2 linked regions of the Daphnia pulex genome follow. The protein of the gene in region 1 purifies or fractionates together with the protein of each later gene. This does not show direct contact. Links are inferred from orthologs where the notes say so. Each region holds a gene or a part of one and is shown in the gene's direction. Other genes may lie near its edges. The genes, in order: unconventional myosin-Va-like and myosin-2 essential light chain-like.

Region 1 (6,885 bases):
GTTTTCGAACCTCGCCGAGCAGTCCAGCAGCTTCGCGGTATTACAGTTTATTATTGAAATTCAATTTACTGTGTCTAATTATTTTGTTTTTGTTCAATATTTCAGCTTGTGGAGTCTTGGAGACTGTACGAATCAGTGCTGCTGGATTTCCGTCACGACTAACGTATGAAGAATTCATCGTCCGTTATCGAGTCCTGTTTCATAGCCGGCAATGTCAGCGGAAGCTGCGAGATTTGTCTGTTCAGAGAGAATCTTGTGAGGCAGTCCTCGCTACTCTTATAACCGAAGAAGACAAATTCAAGTTTGGAGCAAGCAAAATTTTCTTCCGTGCCGGTCAAGTTGCATACTTGGAGAAGCGCCGTACAGACAAATTAAGAGCTTGCGGAATTCTCATTCAGCGGATGATTCGTGGCTGGTTCTACCGAAAGCGCTACGTTAAGTTGCGACTGGCAGTTGTTGGCGTCCAGCGATTTTGTCGCGGTTACTTGGCTCGTTGTAAAGCTCAGCGCTTGAGAGAAACAAGATCAGCCATCGTTATTCAGAAACACGTCCGAGGATTTCTTAAGCGACGTTCTTATACCCGACTCCGTGAGAACGTACTCCGTCTGCAGACGTATGGCCGTGGATTCCTGGCTCGCAAGAGATACCTGCAATTGGTGTGCAATGCCAAGGCAGTTATGATTCAAAAGATGGTTCGCGGTTTCTTAGCCAGACGACGTTATCTTCGTGCACGTAAGAGCATCGTCCTGTTGCAGTGCTGCTGGCGTCGTTGGTTGGCCCGTCGTCAATACAAAGCTCTTCGTTTGGAGGCCCGATCTATCGAGCACGTCAAAAATCTTAATAAAGGCTTGGAAAATAAGATTATATCCATGCAACAAAGAATTGAAGAGATGAACAAAGAGCTGATACCTCTTCGACAAAAGCAAAATGATTATGCCGAATTGAAGACCCAGTGTGAAGCAAACCGCGGATTAGCCAATGAGTTAAAAGTTTCTGTTGGGCGGATAGGTGAACTCGAACTCATGGTAAAACAATTGCAGACCCAACTGGATCGTGAGAGAGATGAAAAGATGGATCTCGTACAAGATCGCGAGAGGGTTGAAAAGCAAAATGAAGAGTTAAACGCTCAAATCGAAAATATTCAAAAAGAGCTCGTTGAGTCGACTGAAATCAACCAAACCCGCAGTCAGGAAGCCGAAGAATCCATCCTACGAAGACTGGACCAAGAACGAGCTATGCTGGCTCAGGAGTACGATCAAGAAAGAGCAGCCTACCAGAAGTTGCTTCAGGACTACCACGAGCTGGAGGAGCGGTTTGAAGAAGCTGAAAGAGAACTTGAACGCCTTCATGAGGAACCAGGGAAAAGCAGCAAGAGTGAAACTATTCGTGGTCATTCTCGCAACGCTTCGAACGTGAGTACGCTCAGCAATACCAGTGAATTGATCGCAAATCCTGAAGATGATGGTGGTTATGGATCTGTTCGTCATGTTCCTAATCGGTCGGACAGCGAAGATGTTGGTCTGGTCCTCAAGCTACAACAGCGGTTGAAGACTGTTGAAAAAGACAAGGCATCATTGGCGACTAGGGTTGAAGAGTTGGAGCGCGAAAGTCCGACTGCCGATGTCAGGAGAGCTCAGGACATGATACGCTTGCAAGAGCTCGAAATGGAAAACGCCAAGATCAAAGATGACCTGAAGAATCTTCGTCGTCAAGCTGCAACAGAGAATGAGGTTCAATTGCCCCGCAGTCTGGATATGCTGATGAGCCAATTCGATGCCATGTCCGACGAGCTCGATCGACGACGAGAGGAATGTATTCAGCTGCGAACCGTGTTGGCTAACACGACTCTTGGAGGCGACATTGGTGAGCAAACTACACTGAACGCATCGCGTCTAAACGGAGGAGAGCCGTTTGCTGAAGACAACGAGATTTTGATGGCTTTTGAATCTCAAAAGCGTATCATACGGCACCTAGAAAATGAATTACAGGAAGAGAAAGCCTCGTCTCAGCGGAAGATTCAAATTGAAAGAGAAGAAGTCGAACGTCTGCGATTGGATAATGAACAGCAGGCAAAGCTTCTTGCTGGGGCCTTACATCGGACGCCACAAGGACAAACCGATGCTGTCATGCAGCATGAAATTTCTCGACTCACGGCTGACAATTTGGATCTCCAGGAAAAGAATGATTTGCTATCCGAGCAACTCAAAAAGTACAGATCGCAGATGAAATTGGCGAAAAGGGTGAAGCAAGAGGGTGTACCTGCCGAAAATCAGGAAGCCAGCCCTGAAGTGCGTGAAACAGTGCATTCGAGTCGCAGGAACGAAAGAAGCGAATCATCGCTGCCGGTTGTTCGTAAAAAGGAAACGAATTACCTTGGAATGTTTGATTTTAACATGGGCGACGAAAAGCAGATCGCCAGGAATCTCGTCTACGGTGAGTCCTTTTGGTGTTGTGACGAAATAAAGTAACTTCATAATGATTTTTTTGGTTTGAATTTCTAGAATTGAAACCACGCGTTGCGTCAACTCTGTTACCCGGTCTTCCGGCATACATCATTTTTATGTGTGTCCGACACGCAGATTACATCAACAGCGACGATAAAATCAGATCTTTCTTAACTCTGATTATTAACGCTATTCGTCGACTCATTAAGAAACGATATGAGGATCTGGACACTTCAGTTGTCTGGTTAGTCAACACGTGCAGACTTTTACACAGTCTAAAGCAGTACAGTGGAGAAAAGGTATGTTTCAATTTGCAAGCGTTGCCCATCTAATTATTTAAATCATCTAATGTCATGTAATTGATTTTCACAGACCTTCCAAGAGGAAAATACTCCGAAACAAAATGAACAATGTTTGAGGAATTTTGATTTGTCAGAATACCGACAAGTTCTTAGTGATATCGCTGTTTGGATTTATCAGGTGATTTTTTCTTAATCGTGAAACTAATTGAACTGATGAAATAATTGCAATTACTCTTAGGCGGTAATCAAATTTATGGAAGAGCGTGTTCAGCAGCTTATTGTCACTGCAGTGTTGGAACATGAAGCCATCTCTGGACTTTCTAGTCATAAGCAACCAGTAGGACAGAGCGGCCGAGCGAGGTAATTGATGATTTTTATCAGCCAAAAGTTTCCAATATTTACTATCTGGCAATTACAGATCGGGGTCAACGAGGGATACCACAAGTCCTGTTGATCCACAAGAAGCGATCGCACATTTGTTGCGCGAGTTAACCATTTTCCACCAAGTGTTGCAGTTATATGGCGTAGATCCGACGCTTATCGCCCAAGCTTTCCGCCAGGTATTTGCCTTCGTGCATTTATGTAGGTTACATACCATTCTTAATTCAATACTTAAATTTTATCTTTATTTTCAGGTGTTCTATTACATTTGTGCCTGTGCATTGAACAACCTCCTACTGCGTAAAGAAATGTGTCACTGGTCGAAAGGCATTCAGATTCGGTACAATATTTCCCATCTGGAACAATGGGTGCGTGACCAGCACATTCATGGACAGGACAGTATGAGTGCTACTATCGTAGATACCCTGCAGCCTATTATCCAAGCCGCACAGTTGTTACAAGCCAGAAAATCCGACGACGACGTCAGTAACATTTGCACGATGTGTTCCCGGTTAACCAGCGCTCAGATCATCAAAATTCTGAATCTGTACACGCCAGCCGATGAATTGGAAGATCGAATTCCGATTTCTTTTATCCGCAAAGTGCAGGAAGAGCTGCAAAAACGAACCGACCACCAATCACAGAGCAAATTGCTAATGGATACCAAACACGCATTTACGGTGCGCTTTCCATACAGCCCATCTTCTATCAAACTAGAAGACATAGACATTCCTGCCGTTTTAAATCTACCAATGCTGAAGAAGGTTTAAGATCATTTATCCCATGCAGATGTGCGTTATATTCTTATCGAAGCATTCCGTTGGTGTGTGTTAAGTATTGAGGAACGAAATGTGTTTGGCTGCAAACGTCTCGAAGCTAACTGCGGCCATTTGTTCTATTTCAAATAAGAAGAAATGCGTTATCATTGATACTAAGTACAAGAACAAACTGCAATGTTGCTTAAGAGAAGAACAATGATCTGCCAAAGATTTCTGTTAGTGACCTGCTTTGGACTCACGATCTCTGCGAAAACAGAGACCAATATATTTATACTTACAAACGTAATTTTCTATGCTTGTAGGATATGCCTGCAGCTATGGCCCAAGGTCGATCTATTGTTCGTTTGTTTTTTTTTTATTTTTTTTTTCATTTCTTATGTTCATTATTAAAAAAGTCCAAAGATGCTGTTCCGTTTCCGTAGTTCATGCACTATTTCCGTTCTGTTAGGCAGTTTGCGGGAATCCCCGTTTTCAAAATCATTCAGCCGTTTCATTGTTGTGTTGATTTATTTAATCGAATACAGATTTGTGATTGCGATAATTTATATTATTTAATTTATTTTTGTTTTCACTCAAATTTTTACGTTACATCACGTAACATTTTCTTAATAAGACGAAGGCTACATGAGAAATTTGCCTGCTAATGATTTGTAGCAATTAAAGGTGTGAGCTAGCTCTTGCTTCATGTTTTCAATCTCCCTAATGGCACTAGTAAAGATATAAGGGAAAATAATTCCTTTTTCATTCTCTTCAATCTTCATTCCTGCGCGCAAAAGACCTTGAATTTTTCCGTGACGCCATAACTAATTACTGTTAGTCATCAACTTCTCTCTGTAATCTAATTTGCCATTCTCGTATTCTATTCTCGAATTTCTTGTTGGTGGATCAATTTCCGCTGCTTGAGAGTTGGATCATGTTATCTGCATTAAATCGAGTAAAATGAAAATAAAACAATTTATGCGCAAGATACTTAAAAAAATCACGAATTACAGAGGCTTTTTGTGGCTTTGATTATTCTTATATTTCACGAAGAGGATGGAGATTAATTCATGGACCAAGAGACTGTTGGTCTAGGGGATTTTTGGAAGTAACGCAGGTGTAATGAGAATTCCATAGACAAACAGGTCTCATCATAGTTGAAAATTGTAATTTGTAATGCCCGGTTTTTTGAACCAGTAGTAGCTCAACGACTTCGCCATCTAGAAGGGTAGGGATTCGAGGAAAATATGTGCGCCCACCCTAGATGGCGAAGTCGTCGAGGTAGGCCTACCACTGGTTCAATTTTAAAAACAGGGAATATACATATCCATTGTAATGTGCGCATCACCGAGTTGATTGTCATTATCATAAGTATAATTTGCATACTACCCTTGCATATCTGTTTGCAATTGGAAGTGCAATTGGAAGTAGCATTGCAACTTGCGTCACCTGTACACGCCTGCACATTTTCCGTGAAATGTGTCACCAACGGCTTTCCATACAATAGGAGGTTCCGCTGTTACATTAGCTTATCTTATTTATTCATGTTGTTAATGACGTAAGAGGTACATTATGAATTGCGAGATGTGTGTGTCATCCACTTTCAGCCATCATCTATTTGTTAAATAGCTGACGCATTCTGCTTTGCAAAACTAAATTGAATTGAATCAAAGAAGATGATTTTCTCCCATTGATGGAACAGGAGGGTACGCTAACAAGATCTTATAGTCCGCGTATAAAGCTAATATCAGAATAAGAGTCTAAATGATTTCGTCGAATGAGAGCCAGAGACCAATTGACATGGATTTGCGCTTTCGTTGACAGTCTCAGGCTTTCAGGATAGAAAAAATAAAAAATCCCCAAATCCCTGGTGATTTGACCGAATAGCCTATCTGGATCATCCAGTCAGCCGAAAGCAAAGCGAAGAAACTTTTTCTTTTATGCAAAAAGAAAACGCACAACTCCCTTCACGCTTACGTAATACTTTTGTCAGTTACCTCCGTCCAATCGTATGATTTCAATAAATTTTGCAATGAAAAAATCAAGGAAAAAATAGATTTGAATTAACAAAGAATCCTTAGACAGCAGTCCAGGACCCAAAAGGATTTAAGTTTTTATTTTTATTGCGCATTGAGTGCCATTTAAGTTTGCCGGATGTGTCAAATAATGCTCCTCATCAACTATCTTTCCACTATATCGTTCAATGACGTGTTACGTTCAATCAAGTTTCTCCGCATCGAAAAAAGGGAATAAGCACACATGTTGCACTCGACATCGATCTCAATAGGTCACAGTGACTGGCGCACAGACTATTTTTCTTTTTCGTGGTAGTACACAGAGTAAAGATGCCCTAACTCTTCTGCTTTTAGATTCCAAAGTATAGATCTCAGCGCGAAAGTGCGAGAAGGTGGAATATTTTTGACACGCCTAGAGGCTTCAAGTTTAATTGGATTTTCCATCCATCCCATTGACAATAGTCATCGACTCGCCCAGATTGGTGGAGCCATATAGCGAGCACTTATGGCTAATTGGCTTCCATTTCAGCCAAACTAAATTGAATTTCTTTTACTACAACTGCTGCTGCTGCTGCTGTACACTCTTGTCGCGTCGTTTCTGAAATAAAATGCTATCGCCATCAGATTTCGGAAGCTATTTCCATCTATACGTCACAATGTCGTTTCTGCATGTGAGCTCTTCTCATCGCGAAAAGATTGAATGGCACCAGACAATATCGGAACAAAAAGGTGAGCAGCATGTATGTATATAAATAGTGTAGACCAACAGCGTCAAACTATATATATCTAGAGGAACAGAAATCTGAAGATGTCGTTCATGCATATTCCTTCCGCTGGTTAATCACAGCGGAATAAGGATTCGCGCAGTTTGAAAAAAGTATACAGTGTACGAAAGGTATGATGAGGCAAGAAAACTTCCCTCCAAGTCTGAACTTGAGCATTACATATGGGCCACTGGTCTGGGACCAAACTGCTCCGGTATCTT
Region 2 (7,462 bases), on another chromosome or scaffold:
TTCGTGGTGTAGTACTCGGCTCCCTTCGTGGTGTAGTACTCGGCTCCCTTCGTGGTGTAGTACTCGGCTCCCTTCGTGGTGTAGTACTCGGCTCCCTTCGTGGTGTAGTACTCGGCTCCCTTCGTGGTGTAGTACTCGGCTCCCTTCGTGGTGTAGTACTCGACTCCCTTCGTGGTGTAGTACTCGGCTACCTTCGTGGTGTAGTACTCGGCTACCTTCGTGGTGTAGTACTCGGCTACCTTCGCGGTGTAGTACTCGGCTCCCTTCGTGGTGTAAGCTGGGGCAACGTAGGTTGTAGTGCAGTATTTGGGCGTTTCGGTGATGTAACAAGTTAGATCCTCGGTGTAGTAGCTGGGAACAGAATAGTACATGGGAGCATTAGTATAGTTAGATGAGGCATCGGTAGGTTTTAGTTTAATACTTAGAGCCTTGGTGGTGTAGTATTTAGGGGCCTCGGGAAGTACATGTTCCGTATGTTGACTTCGTTGTGTAGTAAAGCGGCGGCGTTGCGGTTTGGTACCACCACACTCAAATACATCGGTACCCCGTGATCGCCCCAGCCATCAACGATACAACACCCAACAGCAGCACGACCCATAGTCAACTAGACAAAAAATAATTTAACATTAATTATTAGTTAGAACTAGTAAATTAACGAATAGAAAAATATGGAATGATTCACAACTCCATGTTAAAAACAAACAGAATATTTACCCATGTTTTAAGATGGAGCAGAGTATGTTGCAGTATGATTTTCTCTCGTGGTCGACATCAACGATGCAACACCCAACTGCAGCACGGCGTCATAGTTAACAATACAATAAACGATTTAAAAATTAATTTTCGAATACAACTAGTCATTTCAATAACTAACATAAGATAGAATTCATTCACGACTCGAATTAAAATTGATTATTTACCCATGATTGCGAACTGATAATGAGATGAAGAAGTCATCTGGTGCGCTGCAGTTGTTGCCGTGTCGTAGACGTTCACTCGACTGATCACTGTGGCCTTTTCTCTCTCCTTTTATACGACTTTTTCTCACCCTTACCTCTCAACTCAAGGCTTGCGGCAATTGTAGACCTACTTGATAATGTTGCAACACGTGTCGTTCTCACCCAACCTCTACACCACTGCAAGAAAGTTTTACCAATTCTATGTAATGATCTCCGTGACCTTCGGTTGAATGACATACAAACTGGCCTTTCCTCCCGCAGGTTGACGTAGCTGGGGATGGGTTTACAAAAAACATTATCAAAATGAATACCAAATGGTTATGTAAAACTTGCCTTTCTTACCCAACCTCTACACCACAACATTGACAGTTTTACGTAATGATCTCAGTGACCTTCGAAAGTGAAGGACATGCAAACTGGCCTCTTCCTTCTGCTTCTGTAGGTTGACGTTGCCGGGGATGGGTCTACAAAAAACAATATCAAATTAATACCAAATGACTTAAAACTCACTTTATCCAAATTTACATTTAAGTAAATTGACTCGTTTCTTCGGTGAATGAATAAATCTTCCATTTCGAACCACTTTTTTTTCTTCCATATTGTTTGAAGGACACTCGACTTTTTTGAAGATGTTCCACTGCTAACTTATCTAAAAAGTTTCAAACACATGATCAATCCATATTCATTTCATAATGTGCACACGGTTGACCCTTGTTAGAAACCTCTTTTCTTAGTCAATAAGTTCTCAACAAAAACAACAGTAACAAACCAATAATCTACATTCACAACTTAAAAGAATATAAGGAAGAATTACCATTTTTTTTACAAAAATGTCAGGAAAAAAGTACACCGTAGAGGCGTAGAGAAATTTACTTGCATTTACGATCAGCGTCTCCAAATTAAATGGCGAATAATACAATTCTTATTTGTTCATCGCACACCATCTATGGGAATGTAGCAAGAAATTTTAAATTGAGAAAGTGGTCACTAGATGGACATGAAATGTTTACATTTTACAAGGATGGCGACTCTAGCTACAGCCACACGCGTCTCGACAACTCGTTTTTTGTTTTATCGTTGTTTTTCTACAGAGGTAAAGCACTATTTTTTGAAATTTCCCACTTTGTGTTATAAGCCTTATAATTTATAGGTTCCAGAGGCTGTTTCTAAAGCCATTGCCACAACAGATGTCTACGGCCCTCCAGACCCAAAGTCAAGTCTTCGCCTAATCACCTTCTATATCGCCCCTGATGAAACTGAAGCTGAGAAAGAGTACAGACTTAGACGGGCTCAGGTACAGGAATGGAACCACTTATTTTGGACTATCCATAATGTTCAATTTACCCAGGTGATTAATTGTCTAATTACTATAAATTTGAATTTACTTTTGATAACGCTGCATCCATGAGCAGGCCAAAGAAGAATTTGTGACATCAGTGTTAGAGAGAAGAGGTAAAGATGCCACCACAACAGGGCAACCCCTAACTGCTGATGATTTATCTGAATTCTACAGGGCATTCCTAGATCAAAATAGGGAAAAGCACTTGAAGTATAATGTAGAATGGCACATGAAAAACATGGGTCTTCTATGGCCTGGAATTAAGGCAAATTTAAGTAGATTTAAAAAGGGTTTTTCTACTATGTAAAGTTATGTAACATAGGTCCCAGTACAGACTTATTTAATACATTGTGTTAAGATTGTAATTGTCATTATTAGTTGTCACTTCTTTTCAGCTTCATTTAGAAGCTCAGTATTGCCAACAAGCAGAAAAGTAGGGAAGTGGCAATTAGAAAAACAGAGACTTGCAGCAAAGTACAGAGAGAAGGGCCAGAAAGCATACAAAATTATACTTGAACTCTTATGTATTTCATCCCCATTGTTGGTCATCACATCTATGACTGCAGATAACCACTAAAATAAAATAATAAAAACATTTAAATTGGTGTCATGGAGTTGAAGAAACGAATAACTTACGGCAGTTTCATTCTCATGAAAATCCATGTGGTCAGGAATGAAATAACAATGCAGATAAATCCAAGAAAGATGAGAAGCAGTCTGTTGAACTTAGGCATGGTAGTAGATTGGGTTTGGTCAAGTATTACATAGCCTAATCCACCAAGGGTAAACATGAAACTGGATGCAAGACCTTCTAAAATGTATTGGCCATTGACTCTGTATGGCATGAAGGCAACCTATTCAAATTAATAAACCATCAAGCATTTAGAAACACATAGTGGGAGTCTTTGATATGGTAAAACTCACTGGACGAGAATGTCCTCGCTCATCAGTTGTTGACCCAATTGAAGGTGGCTCCACAATAACATCATAGATTATACCTGATTAGATCAAAATAATATTAAACAATCATGATTTTATATTTGTCAATAACAGCAATATTCTATACACACCTCCTGTAACCATGAAATATGACAACAGAACGATAGAGAACACGGTCATTGCTGAGGGCTGGTGAAACCATGTCGGTTTTTTTATTTTCAAATTGGGTACTTCCAACACGGAAAAAGGAATGCTGTATAAAACTTCCATTGTGCCTTTATAGAATAATATTTTTCTCAATTAAGCATCCGTCCAAAATAAACCGGCTCAAACGTCAACTGACTGCACGCCACGTAGTGACAGCTGAGAGGTAGCTACGCTTTGCAGAGATGCCGATAACACAGAATATGATCATTAAAAAAAAACAACTCAATAATGAAAAAATATAGATTTGATCAATAACAAAATACTATTATCGCTCGACAAAGCCAATTTTAAAAATAAAACTGAAAGAAAATGATGGCTTCATTGTTAACATTTTGGAGAGAAGAGAAGAGAGATAGGATTGGTCGAACAAAAATGTTTTCAAGCGGCGAACCACCAAAGCTTGGAACTACGTTTAATGAAAATTGTGGTAACAAAATAAATCAATATTTTGGAGGCAAAATCAACTAAAACAATTCTCAATTTTTTAAATATTCGCGTATTTATGGACCTTGAATTATCTTATTTCAACCATTTCAATAACAGACTCCTATTGTTATCTCGCCAAAAGGTGGCGCGTATTTTTAGCGTTGCTAGTCTACATTTTATATCTATGGTACGGACCATTTGACGTCAGTTTCCAAAAAAATTTCAACACAGACTGCTTGTGCATTCGTTTGGGTGTGTTTCTGTTCTGTAGTTCACGTTTCGAAAAAAATGGTAATTGATTTTCTAATGACAGTTAAACGGTTACAATTGGTTGAAATAAATAATCTAACTATTTCTTATTCTTCTGCTTCTATTTAAAGGCCGGATACAGTGAAGATCAACTTGCTGGTAAGAAAACTTTTAAAGATGCAATTTTCATACCTTATATGGTAATGAAAGTTGGTGCAGACCTTTGACATAATCGGCCTAGATTTCCCTTGCCGTTCCCTTTCTGATGCATTAATTGAATATTTCTCTTGTAGACTTTCAGGAAGCATTTCAACTTTTTGATCAAAAAGGAGATGGTTGTGTTCAGGTGTCTCAGATTGGTGACATTTTGCGTGCCTTGGGACAGAACCCCACAGAATCTGATGTGAAGAAGTTGACCCACAATCACCGACCAGGTAATTACATTGAAAGAGATCTTCCGGTTCAATCAGTTCATGTTCTTTTGTAATTCTTTAGAGGCTCGTGTCAACTTTGAGGTGTTTTTGCCAATCCTCCAAGCCATTTCCAAAAACCGTTCAGCCGATACAGCTGAAGATTTCATTGAAGGACTGAGGCATTTTGACAAAGATGGCAATGGTTACATTTCATCTGCAGAACTCAGACATCTCCTCACAACCTTGGGTAACGCCTAATGACTTGCATTCAACATTGGGTGTGTCATTTATAATAAACAAACAATTATTTTGAATTTAGGTGAGAAGTTGGCTGATGAAGAAGTTGGAGAACTATTGAATGGCCATGAAGACTCCCAGGGCAACGTGAATTATGAAGAATTTGTTCGTGCCGTCATGAGCGGTTAGATCGGGGGATTATACGACTTATTTTATACTTTCATATTACCCCAGTTCTCGATTTAATAAATTCATTAAATTCCTCGTAAAAAAAAACAAAAAAACATCTCTAATTAGTACTTATGTTCTGATCCAATAACAAAGCCCTAAAACATCTTTCCTACCCCCACATCTATATTCTTATCTCTCTGGTGTGTATTGCAGTGCCTTTTTCATCATAATATTACCGCACATTCCACAATACACTTTGGCGCTTCCTCAACTACCTATCGGATCTATTACATTTGGCAACATCATGTGGAGCAAACATCCTGTGTACACGCAATTCATTAGTAACGAGATATTCATCGCAAAGTTCACTGGCCGTTTCTTTTTTAAAAGATAAAACAAAAAGGGACGCTGCCCCACTTGACGAATTTTCTTAGTTGGTAACATCAGCCGCCAGATGGCAGTCATTTAATCGTGAAAAAAGAAAAACGGCCGATTGTTGGTAGTATTATTAATGTCTAGGAATATTCATTTCATCATGCGATCAATTGAGTGCGATGACGCAACTCGGGGCGGAAGGAAGGAAGCGAAACGGTAGCGGGTACGACTTCAGTCGGACGTGCCAAGTCGAAATTAGACGTTTCCTACGGGTGGAAGAGTTCCAAGAGGCCAGCGAAAGGAAAAAGAATGATGGGACATTTCAAACACTCGAGGGTCAAATATAGAAAACAACCTCAAGTGGCGAAATAGAAATAGCCGCGCGCACAAACTTTTTTGGCTTCTAGACTTTGTGTGTTCTTTTAATAACGAAAAAAAGAAGACACTCTTATGGCAACAACAACAAAACAAAAGAGATAGAGAGGATTGATGGCAGATCAACAATGCTTGACGATGACTCGCAACAAATTATAAACACGAGGCGCAAACAAAAACAACCATCCAGTCTATTCGGCATTCGCTTCCGCACGTGTTTTTGGGTGGTGCCCGGATCGGTGCGCATTCCCCACGTTGGCGTTTCGAGGTCGCCACTAATAATCGACATGCCACGCGCATTCATTCCTTGGACGTCGTAACAGCTGCCAACTCGAGTATCCAATTAGCTGTTGAATTAGTTCACTTGCGCTCGGCAATCAATCAAATATTCGCAAATCGACTTTTCGTTTGACTTAAAAATCAACTTTTCAACAGCAGAGCCGCGAAATGTTTTGAGAATCGATTTCTTACAATCGATCGACATCTACAAGTTTTCATTTTATTTTTATTATTTCGTTCCAGATGATCCCGACGGCGCCATTTCGGATTAGAATTGGAAAGGAGCCGAGAGTCTTTTTTTTATCACCGACACAATTAAGTAGGGGCCTAGCTACTTAGCGACGGGATTACTCGTCGATGTGCACGACGTAACACATGTTCAAATGCGCAGTAGATTGCAATCCGTTTCAACTGTTGTTGAATGACTTTTGTTTGTGTGTATCGGGAACGGACAAACAAAAAGGAGAGACCCCCCCTAATTCATTATCAAGGTTAGAACACAAGATATCAGCTGCTGGAAGAGATTATTAGTGTAGCTATAAAATCGTCTCGTTTCTAATCTTTGCGGCCGGGAGATTTGGTAACGATGACGTTCGATTTCGTTCTGATATGAAAGTTCACGTTGTACCCGCTATTCTTACACGTCAAGTCATAAAGGTCCACAAGTTTCTGAATCAATTCTTAATACAATTGTTGACTCATTCCAGACTGTACGCGCTCAACATTTTCGCTTAAAAAACGTTCAGGTACGAATTTAATTTCCATTGAAAAATATTTCAATCGAAAATTTCAAATTTCTTAATCTAATTTTAGAACTAAAAGAGAAAATTGAAAAATGAAACTGACCGTTTGTTGCGTCCTCGTCGCTTTCATGTCGGTCATGTTGGTCTCGGTGCAAGCCAATTCCATCGCAGTCCGAAGCATCGGTAAATTTCATTAAACGATTCAAATTTCCATCGCTTAAAATGAAATTTTTTTTTATTCTTAGAGGGCCGTGCGGAAGTGGTTACGGTGGCGACGACAACGACAACTCGTGACTGGGGCCAAGTCTGCGCTGATTTGTGCAAGACGGGCGACGGAGGAGTATTGTGTAATTGCGAATTAGTTCCGGTCCGACGTCGCTGAATCAAAGAGAAAAATCACATGTTATCTTGAAACGAATTACACCAAATTTTGTATCCAGCCAATAAACTCCCTTGTTTATAAAACATCTATTGCTTGGTTTTAGTTTGAATTGATCTTTCCCGATCGATTAAATATCTCGCAGTATCCTTCCCGCCCTCCTCTTATACGTGGAGAAATTATTAACAGACGCAATACATCAATTACAGCAACAGCAATAACATCTTGACGTTCGTAGTCGTCTCGAGAAAGATGAAGAAAAATTATTCGAATTAAACAGTCGAGAATATTCTACGAAACAACAACTGAACGAAGGGGGAAAATAACAAAAGAATTTGAACGACAGGTTCCAAATGGAAGAGAAATATCAT

What was found.
Region 2: the proteins of unconventional myosin-Va-like (region 1) and myosin-2 essential light chain-like purify together in Drosophila melanogaster (affinity purification with mass spectrometry; 3 studies listed by BioGRID, with this or other methods). This does not show direct contact. The link is inferred for Daphnia pulex from reciprocal best matches to the Drosophila melanogaster genes didum and Mlc-c.

What each region holds. Positions count from the first base shown.
Region 1 is NC_060024.1:9,027,303-9,034,187, forward strand, and holds the end of unconventional myosin-Va-like, read left to right. Parts: coding exon 1-37; intron 38-105; coding exon 106-2,433; intron 2,434-2,501; coding exon 2,502-2,743; intron 2,744-2,816; coding exon 2,817-2,924; intron 2,925-2,984; coding exon 2,985-3,106; intron 3,107-3,164; coding exon 3,165-3,306; intron 3,307-3,381; coding exon 3,382-3,897; 3' UTR 3,898-4,447; downstream 4,448-6,885.
Region 2 is NC_060023.1:11,862,216-11,869,677, forward strand, and holds myosin-2 essential light chain-like, read left to right. Parts: upstream 1-4,027; 5' UTR 4,028-4,158; coding exon 4,159-4,161; intron 4,162-4,250; coding exon 4,251-4,278; intron 4,279-4,412; coding exon 4,413-4,553; intron 4,554-4,614; coding exon 4,615-4,779; intron 4,780-4,851; coding exon 4,852-4,958; 3' UTR 4,959-5,214; downstream 5,215-7,462. Other genes in the region: COA8 family protein Y39B6A.34, mitochondrial-like, read left to right, coding at 1,951-2,052, 2,110-2,307, 2,372-2,605; oligosaccharyltransferase complex subunit ostc-B-like, read right to left, coding at 2,853-2,871, 2,935-3,152, 3,223-3,296, 3,369-3,507.